2 linked regions of the Cricetulus griseus genome follow. The protein of the gene in region 1 binds, or shares a complex with, the protein of each later gene. Links are inferred from orthologs where the notes say so. Each region holds a gene or a part of one and is shown in the gene's direction. Other genes may lie near its edges.

Evidence for each region.
Region 2: the proteins of Crb1 (region 1) and Mpp5 are in contact, whole or in part, in a crystal structure (PDB 4UU5), measured with the Homo sapiens proteins. The link is inferred for Cricetulus griseus from reciprocal best matches to the Homo sapiens genes CRB1 and PALS1. Residues at the interface, in NP_957705.1 of Homo sapiens: Ala1401, Met1402, Glu1403, Arg1404, Leu1405, Ile1406; in NP_071919.2 of Homo sapiens: Lys261, Pro266, Leu267, Gly268, Ala269, Thr270, Val271, Arg272, Asn273, Ser281, Arg282, Val284, Val314, Asn315, Val317, Phe318, Leu321.

What each region holds. Positions count from the first base shown.
Region 1 is NC_048598.1:49,995,326-49,999,907, forward strand, and holds the start of Crb1 (protein crumbs homolog 1), read left to right. Parts: upstream 1-1,486; coding exon 1,487-1,563; intron 1,564-3,464; coding exon 3,465-3,517; intron 3,518-4,490; coding exon 4,491-4,582. UniProt on the Homo sapiens protein: Plays a role in photoreceptor morphogenesis in the retina. May maintain cell polarization and adhesion.
Region 2 is NC_048598.1:124,811,412-124,815,231, reverse strand, and holds part of Mpp5 (MAGUK p55 subfamily member 5), read left to right. Parts: intron 1-1,123; coding exon 1,124-1,291; intron 1,292-2,274; coding exon 2,275-2,477; intron 2,478-3,820. UniProt on the Homo sapiens protein: Plays a role in tight junction biogenesis and in the establishment of cell polarity in epithelial cells.

The sequences.
Region 1 (4,582 bases):
CCTTCCCATCTTTCTGATGGCAGAGAATGAATTTGATGCTTAAGTTCAGTATCAATAAAAATGAATGGCAGACATGATTAGAGAGTCTTAAATTCTAAGAAAAGACTGAGAAAGGGATAACAATGGAATACTTATGTGAAAATGTTTTTAATGAGTATTAATCATTACTTCTTCACACATGGCTTGTATGTAGTGATTATAGTTGGTGACCATATACAAGTGCATGTTTGGTATAAAGACATCATTAAAGAAGCATGGCTTGCAAAATCCATACTCAGGAAATAACTGTAGAGTGTATATTGGGATAAATAGGTGCTGAGGACAATACAACACATCTTTTTCTCTGTATGGTTAGTTAGGTCATTTCACAACCTCATATATAGCATTTATCTTGGGCTTAGTATGCTTGCCCAGGATTAAGATCTAATGACTTAATCTCCATAAAAAAACAGACAAATTGTCCTGCTCAGGTTTCGAAGAGGAGGAGACAGAAGCTTCGCAAGCAGAGACAGACTTGGTGCTGTCCCACTGTCCCCTTGGCTTCACCTTCTTTATTGGTTAATAGAAAAGTTAATGAAGTGGTGATATTAAACAATACCTTGATTTTTCAGATAATCGAATGTTCAAAAAGCATTCAGTTATCTTCTTCTTTGGTAAGTAGATAGAAGACCAGGACAGCTTAAAGAATAAATGCTGTCGACAGCAACCTCTGAAAAATTAAACGGTTCCCTCCTGGAAAGATTCCTTCCCATTCCACCAGGAGAATAAATACGATGCACTTCACAACTAGCTAAATTGCCAAGGTGCCTACTTTCCATATAAATTTAATTACAGAATAATACACTGACATACACATGCAAAGAAGTACGAGTCTTTAATATCTTTACAACTGGTGAAATTAATTCCTACTTTTCAACAAATGTAATTATTTCATTTTAAAATGGCAATGGGAAATGCAAAAATGGTTACTTGTAAAAATTATGAGAAATGCTTTTCCCCCCTTCTGCCATTGTTCTCAGTCCTCGGGACTCCTGAAGGGCATCTCCAAGGAAGAGGGGGCAAGTCCTGTTGGACCGGAAGCAAGGGCCGCGTCCGCAGTGCCTCAATTGGACCAGGCCTACTGCTGATGTGTTCACCCGGATCACTCAAGACATTTTCCTTGAAGGAATTCTGCTGTTCTTAGAGGGACAAGAAAAGAAAGGAAGGAAGAAAAGGAAATTTAAAGCTCTCTGATGAAGAATTTCTTAAGAGCGTCAGTAGATGGCGAACTTCACTGCAAGGAAAGGATGCTATAGCCTCTGTCTTGTTCTGAGCATTAACCGCGCAGTGAATTTTCCTACTCTCAGTTAGAAAGCTATTATGAAAGGCAAATTCCCTATGCCCGTTTTCCAGGTAACTAAATCCCAGTGATAAATTTAAATCTTATTAATGAGTCGGACTCTAAAGCGTAATAATTATTAAAATTGTTTTCATTTTCACCGAGAGAATGCAGTGTGCCTGGCTTGCACAGGTGACTTTTTTCACCAAGATTCGTGGAAAAGTTGGAGTGGCCATGATCCTTAGGTCATAGACACCCATTATAAATTTTTGTTTTAGTTTTGTTTCCTTAGCTGCTTATTTAACAATTTAATCAATTTGTTCATCTCAAGAAAGAGTTAGGTTAGCCAGACAGAGTGACACATGTCTATTATCCCCAAGAGTTCAAGTCTGAAGGCTGCCTAGGTGAGATCGTGCCAAATAAAATATAGTAAATTGAAAATATTTTATAAATTAGAAAAACCAGACTTTTCTTTCTGACAGATAATTTTCTCATTAGTCAGTACATGTATGCTGAACTTCATCTGTAAGAAAGCCTGTTAGCATCTCAGGACACATCCACAAACCTACATGGTAGACAGTGTTAATGGCACCAGGCACAAGGAGAGCAAAATGTGCCACTGTAGCCTCACTAAAAGCGCATTTCAATGTACAGAGAAACAGAACAATGAGGGACAGGGTGTGGACTGTATTTAAATCCATCTGCTCTGCTTTGCAAATATTTTATCACATGTATTTCAGTAATCCCTTCAGAATCCCCAGATCTGTGATGAAGCACAAACCTGCTTCTCATGCCAGGGGTGTACACTCCAGGACAAAGTTCTTGAACCACATCTAAGAATTTCTTTTTGTCTTCATTTATATTTCCTGGATGTTTCTTTCATCTTTACATACGCAAAGTACTGGCATCCTAACTGGGCGTGGTTGTGTACACCTTTAAGCCCTGCACACCAAAGGTAGAAACAGGTGGATCACTATGAGGCCAGCCAGTCTACACTAACGAGTTGCTGAATGGCCAGGACTATGTAGAGAGCCCCTGTTTCAAAACAAAGGAAAGCAAAGCAATATAAAACAAAACAAAATATTACTGTACCCTTCTGTGGCAAAATTGACTTAATTCTTCATCAGGTGTCTCTCTCTCTGTCTCTGTCTGTCTCTGTCTGTCTCTGTCTGTCTCTGTCTGTCTCTGTCTCTGTCTCTGTCTCTCTCTCTCTCTCTCTCTCTCTCTCTCTCTCTCTCTCTCACACACACACACACACACACACACACACACACACACACACACACCACTATACTCTATTGTTCCTTAAATCAGTTACAGTTTTATATTATTTTACAGCAAAGTGTTATTCTCATAAGTTGCGATTTTATTTTCTCCTCAATCTGTGTATTGATTTTCCTTCCCCACCTACACTGATTTCATCTCCTTTCTTGTACAGTTTTTAGCATTCTCCCAAAATTAATAGCAGTAAAAGTTGCTTTGAGTTTTACACTTGGTCTGTTTATTTGCATTTTTCTTCTCTGACACATCCCTCATGAGGCTCCACTTTCTGCTCTGCTTAATGTTGACACTGATGGCACATCTGGGGTGCTGGGATTTCTTTTTTTAGTAAAAATCTGCTTGTTTTTGTCCTGCTAGGTTTCTGACAAGATTTCCTAGAATGAATGTCTTCTTTTTTGGTTTCATCGTCATTTTCATTCATGGTCTCTCAGAATCTTCCTGAAAATCAAGTAAAAGAGGAAATTTGGAATCTTCTTTTTTTTCCCTCTATTTCTATTAAATCTGTAGTGTAGCTGGGCATATAATTCTTGTTTATAAATGACTTCCTCTACTGTGTGAATGTGTGTGTGTGTGTGTGTGTGTGTGTGTGTGTGTGTGTGTGTGCATGTTCCTGCACACATGTATGCACACACAAGCATGACAGTGTCTCACTACATACCTCAGGCTTGTTGCAAACTGAGATCTGCCTCCTTTTACCAAGTGTTAAAGGCAACATCACACAGAGCTCTCTCGGGAGCTCCAAAATGTTCTATATCCTCCAGCATGCAATGCTGCAGACATCAAACTGGAAATGCATCCAATCAACTTAGAGAGAGTCACAGACTTACTGCTCTTCTTCATTATTCCAATTGTGTTTCAAAAATAGATTCCTAGAACAGAGAAGGTTTCTGGAAGATGAAGTCTGCATCCCGGGCTTCAGTATATTTGCAGTGTGACATTATCTGTTTTAGTCTGTAAAGTGTGTGTAGCTATGCTGTGCTCCTGGAAGACTGAGAAATGCTGTGTGTGAAGACCTGGAATATTTAGTACAACATACCCCCATTAGATAAACAGTGATTTTATTTATTTTTCACTTTTCTATGCTTGGCTTTTTGGACCACAAAATGATGATGTTGATTAAACAGCTAGTCATAAATCAAGAAATGGGATTCATCTAAATGTATGTTTCAGTTAAGGCACTGATTTGTAGATGACTTTGTAAGTGATCTAGTATTTCCTAAAATCTTCCACAAAGAAGGTAGGCATTAGAATTCTGAGTAGCTCAAGGGATTAAAAGCATTTGACTCTCATTATCCAACTGCACTTAGACCCAAGGAAAGGAAGATGCAGAAGAAATGAGGTGAAGTCATTTTTGCTTTCTGTTCATGTGTGCCTGAGTGTGTGCATGTGTGTGCATGAATGTGCATGTGTGTGTTTGCATTGTGTACTTACATATGTGCATATGAGCCAGTGTGCTTATGGGCACACATGTACAGGTCAAAGACAACCTCAGATGTTATGACTTAGGTGCCATCCACGCTTTTTTGAGACAAGGGTTCTCATTGGCCTGCTACTCATTGATTAGACTAGGCTGACTGCTCAGTGAGTCCCAAGGATCCACCTCCCCATTGCTGGAATTCTAAGTGCTTGAGTTTTAAATATGGGTTCTGGGGATTGAACTTGGGTCTTCATGCTTGCAAGGCAAGCATTTTGCTGACTGGGGCATCTCCCTATCCCCTTAATTTCTTATCAACAAGTATAAAAAAACTTCTGGACAAATGAAGAATTACAATTCAACATTAGAACATATCCAATGGTGTGTTTCAATAATAACTGTGTTTGAAAGAGTGTTCTTTAATTTTTCCTTCAACCATTTGTAAATTTAATCTTGATATTTTGCATTTCCTTTTAGACTCGTTTTGCAATATAAACAATACCAGGTGCCTCTCAAATTCTTGTCAAAACAATTCTGTGTGCAAGGGTTTTCCACAAGACAATTGTTGT
Region 2 (3,820 bases), about 75 Mb from region 1:
TTGCTAGTACATTTCAGATCTAAGTCTGGGGATGAACTGTTTTATTTCCTTTCCTTTCTGCCTCCACTCACAATCTCTCTGTGTGCAGAGAACTGAACCTGAGACCTCATGCATTTGAGGTAAATGTTCTACTTCTTAAAACAGACTCGAGTTGATCAGTATGGCCCTGAGAGCTTCTATACTGTAGGATACTTGGCAAATCTGAAGCCCCCAGATGTAGAATTGAGTAAGTCTGGGAATCAGAATGCCACCAGTGTGATTTTGACTTTGAGAAAAGCAGCAATTGTCAGTGCTGCTTAAAGTACTTGCTGTGCTCCATGGCAATAAATGATGTACTGTACTTTTGTCTCACAGTAAATTCCTTGAGGTTGCAGACTTACAAGATGAGATGGAAGTTCAGATATTAAAGTTTCTGCTTAAATTGTTACAGCTAATTAAACAGCTGAGTTAGAATTTTTAAATTCTAGCTCCAACTCTTATGGTGGATACTAGCAAGACTAAAAAGGTTCCCTCCCTTATGGAACTTCCTGGTGCCTCTTCCTCATAAGGGCTGCTAATTGCTTGCCTTTGTTCTGACTTGATAGCTTTGGCTTCATCTTATCTTAGGTTTTTAGGAGTGTTACCTCACTCCTTATAGCTTGTATTTTGAGTCATGATTCTGGATCAGAGGATAAATAGTATAAGTGTGATTTATTTTTAATTTGTGTAAGTACAGGAAAGCATTCTAGCACTCTCAGATATACTAGTCATAGCCACTGTGTGCGGATGTTTATCCATACTTGCTCTCCATTATATCTGATCCTAAAAATAACCCTATTAAGTGTAGTCTTTATGAAACTGACACATAAATATCCCCTAGCAGTCTCCTGTGTTACAGTGTTCACTTGCAAACTAGTTACTTTTAAATTAGACAGGGTGGTTTAAACACCTGTAATCTCAGCACTTGGGAGGCTAAGGCAGGAGGATTGCCACAAGTTTGAAGCTAGCTTGGGCTACGGAACAAGCTCCTGCCTCAAAAACAAGCACTCAACACTACCAACAAAACCTAGCTATTTTATGTAAGAAAGTATCTATGACATGGCATTAATTATATCTGAAATTTTCAACTCTTTCTTTCCCAAAGATTATGACAATGAAGAGATCTTAACATACGAGGAAATGTCACTTTACCATCAGCCAGCAAATAGGAAAAGACCTATTATCTTGATTGGTCCACAGAACTGCGGCCAGAATGAACTGCGTCAGAGACTCATGAACAAAGAAAAAGACCGCTTTGCATCTGCAGTCCCTCGTAAGTTTGGACACATTCCCATTTTCCTGTGCTTTTCTCAGAATCTTAACTACACAGGGAAAATTTCATTTTATTGAAACAATATTGTCAATGAAAGAGGAAATTTGTTTAACCAAACCTGATGGCAAGTTTTTATTAAAGGTAGTTCTTTTTGTTTGTTTTTGTTTTTTGAGACAGGATTTCTTTGTAGCTTAGGCGCCTGTTCTGGAACTTACTCTGTAGACCAGGCTGGCCTCAGACTCACAGACATCTATCTGCCTCTGTTTCCTGAATGATGGAATTAAAGGTGTGTGCCACCACCGCCCAGCTAAAGGTAGTCTTAAGGAATTAAAATTTTCCTAAGTGTATGGCACTAGGGGATTTTCTAAAAAATTTTTTTAGTTTGGGCCCCTTTCCCTATTACATAGGAAACCCAATTCCTGATTCTTTAAATACTGATGTTGAAGATAGAAATTTAGACCTAATTTCTGAATACAAATTTAAGATTACATAGTACCTACTCTTATGGAAATACATTTTAAGGAAAGATGACTTGGCAGTGTTTTACAGTATAAACCAAATGGATCAAGGTAACTAAGGTTAACTAGTAAGAGAGTATAAATAGTTTTTGTTCATGTCTCCATAGGAACAGTGCTAAACACACAGGCCCTTAACATTTCCTCAGTTCATTATTTCATAATTTGTGTTATAAAATAAAAATTCTTCCTGGATTGATCTTACTCCATGCTGATCCATGTTTACTAACATTATTATTAAAGATTTGTTTTATTTGTATGTATATTGGGAGAAGAGGGTATGCATGTTAGTGCACTTGCCTGTGGAGAGCAGAAGCAGGCTCCATGTACCCGGAGCTGTAGGCTACCTGATGAGAGTGTTAGGAACTGAGCTCAGGTCTTCTGGAAAGGCCAGAATATGCTCTTGACCTCCAGTCATTCCCTGCAGGCCCTTGTGTTCATTATTTTTATCTGATTGTGTTTGCTTAGATACAACTCGGAATAGGCGAGACCATGAAGTAGCTGGTAGAGATTACCACTTCGTTTCACGGCAAGCATTTGAAGCAGATATAGCAGCTGGCAAGTTCATTGAACATGGTGAATTTGAGAAAAATTTGTATGGAACCAGCATCGATTCTGTACGACAAGTGATCAACTCTGGCAAAATATGTCTTTTAAGTCTGCGAACACAGGTGAACTAGAATTGTGTTTTAGAGTGTTGAACTTGAGGACATGTTTTGTAAACTAATCTAGTAAAAACTGTATTTGGGTCCAAGAACGACAGATTATTTTAAGTTCTACTGCAATTTTCCATTCTTTTTGTAAAACCAAATATGTAGCTAAATCTCTTTCACTTTCAACATGTATATTTTTTTGAAACTAAAAATATAGTTAACTCTAGTGCTGACTATAAGTCTCTACCCTTTTCTGATCTGAGAAAAATTAGAAAATTCAAATGTTATTCTTAGTTTTTGTTTTGTTTTTTTTTAAGATTTTATTTATTTATTATGTATACAACATTCTGCTTCCATGTATATCTGCACACTAGAAGAGGGCACCAGATCTCATAATGGATGATTGTAAGCCACCATGTGGTTGCTGAGAATTGAACTCAGGAACCCTGGAAGAGCAGATGGTGCTCTTAACCTCTGAGCCATCACTCCCAGTTTTAAGGCCATTGTTTCAACCACTCACAAGTACCACAGTCAAGATTCTGCTATCTGAGTGATAAAACCTTAAATTTACCTATCTGACAGAGTGACCCAAACTTAAAATTACCAGCCAGTGCTTCTTAGATTTCTATTTTAAACATTACCTTTAGAAATTTGGGGCTTTGCGCCAGGTGTTGGTGGTGCAGGCCTTTAATCCCAGCACTCAGGAATTCGAGGCCAGCCTGGTCTCCAGAGCGAGTGCCAGGATAGGCTCCAAAGCTACACAGAGAAACCCTGTCTCGAAAAAACCAAAAAAAGAGAGAGAGAGGAGAGAGAGAGAGAGAGAGAGAGAGAGAGAGAGAGAGAAATTTGGGGCTTTAAAGATTTTGTTTGCTATGGAAATGTTTTGCCTTTTATAAAAGATTCAGCTTTAACATAGAACTCTTAATAAATGTGGCCAAGGGCTGGTGAGATGGCTGGTGATGAACAGCAGTTAAGAGCACTGACTGTTCTTCCAGAGGTCCTGAGTTCAATTCCCAGCAACCACATGGTGGCTCACAACCACCTTGAATGAGATCCGGTGCCCTCTGCTGGCATGCAGGCAATAAGAGTGTATACATAATAAATGAATAAAATTTAAAAAAAAAAAATGTGGCCAAATCTGTTGCTGATAGCAACTCAAGCCACAAAATCAGTGGCATTAAGTAGATGTACACAGACAGAAGTTGATTCTTAAATAGCTTCCCAAAATAGTGATTAGTTTTTTTCTTTATTCATTTTGGGTATGGGTTTTTAGAGGGCAGAGGCACTAGGTTTGTGCTATTTTAATCAAACATTTTATTAAGGAAACTTTTTTATTTCTTTTGGAATTCTTTATTTGGATT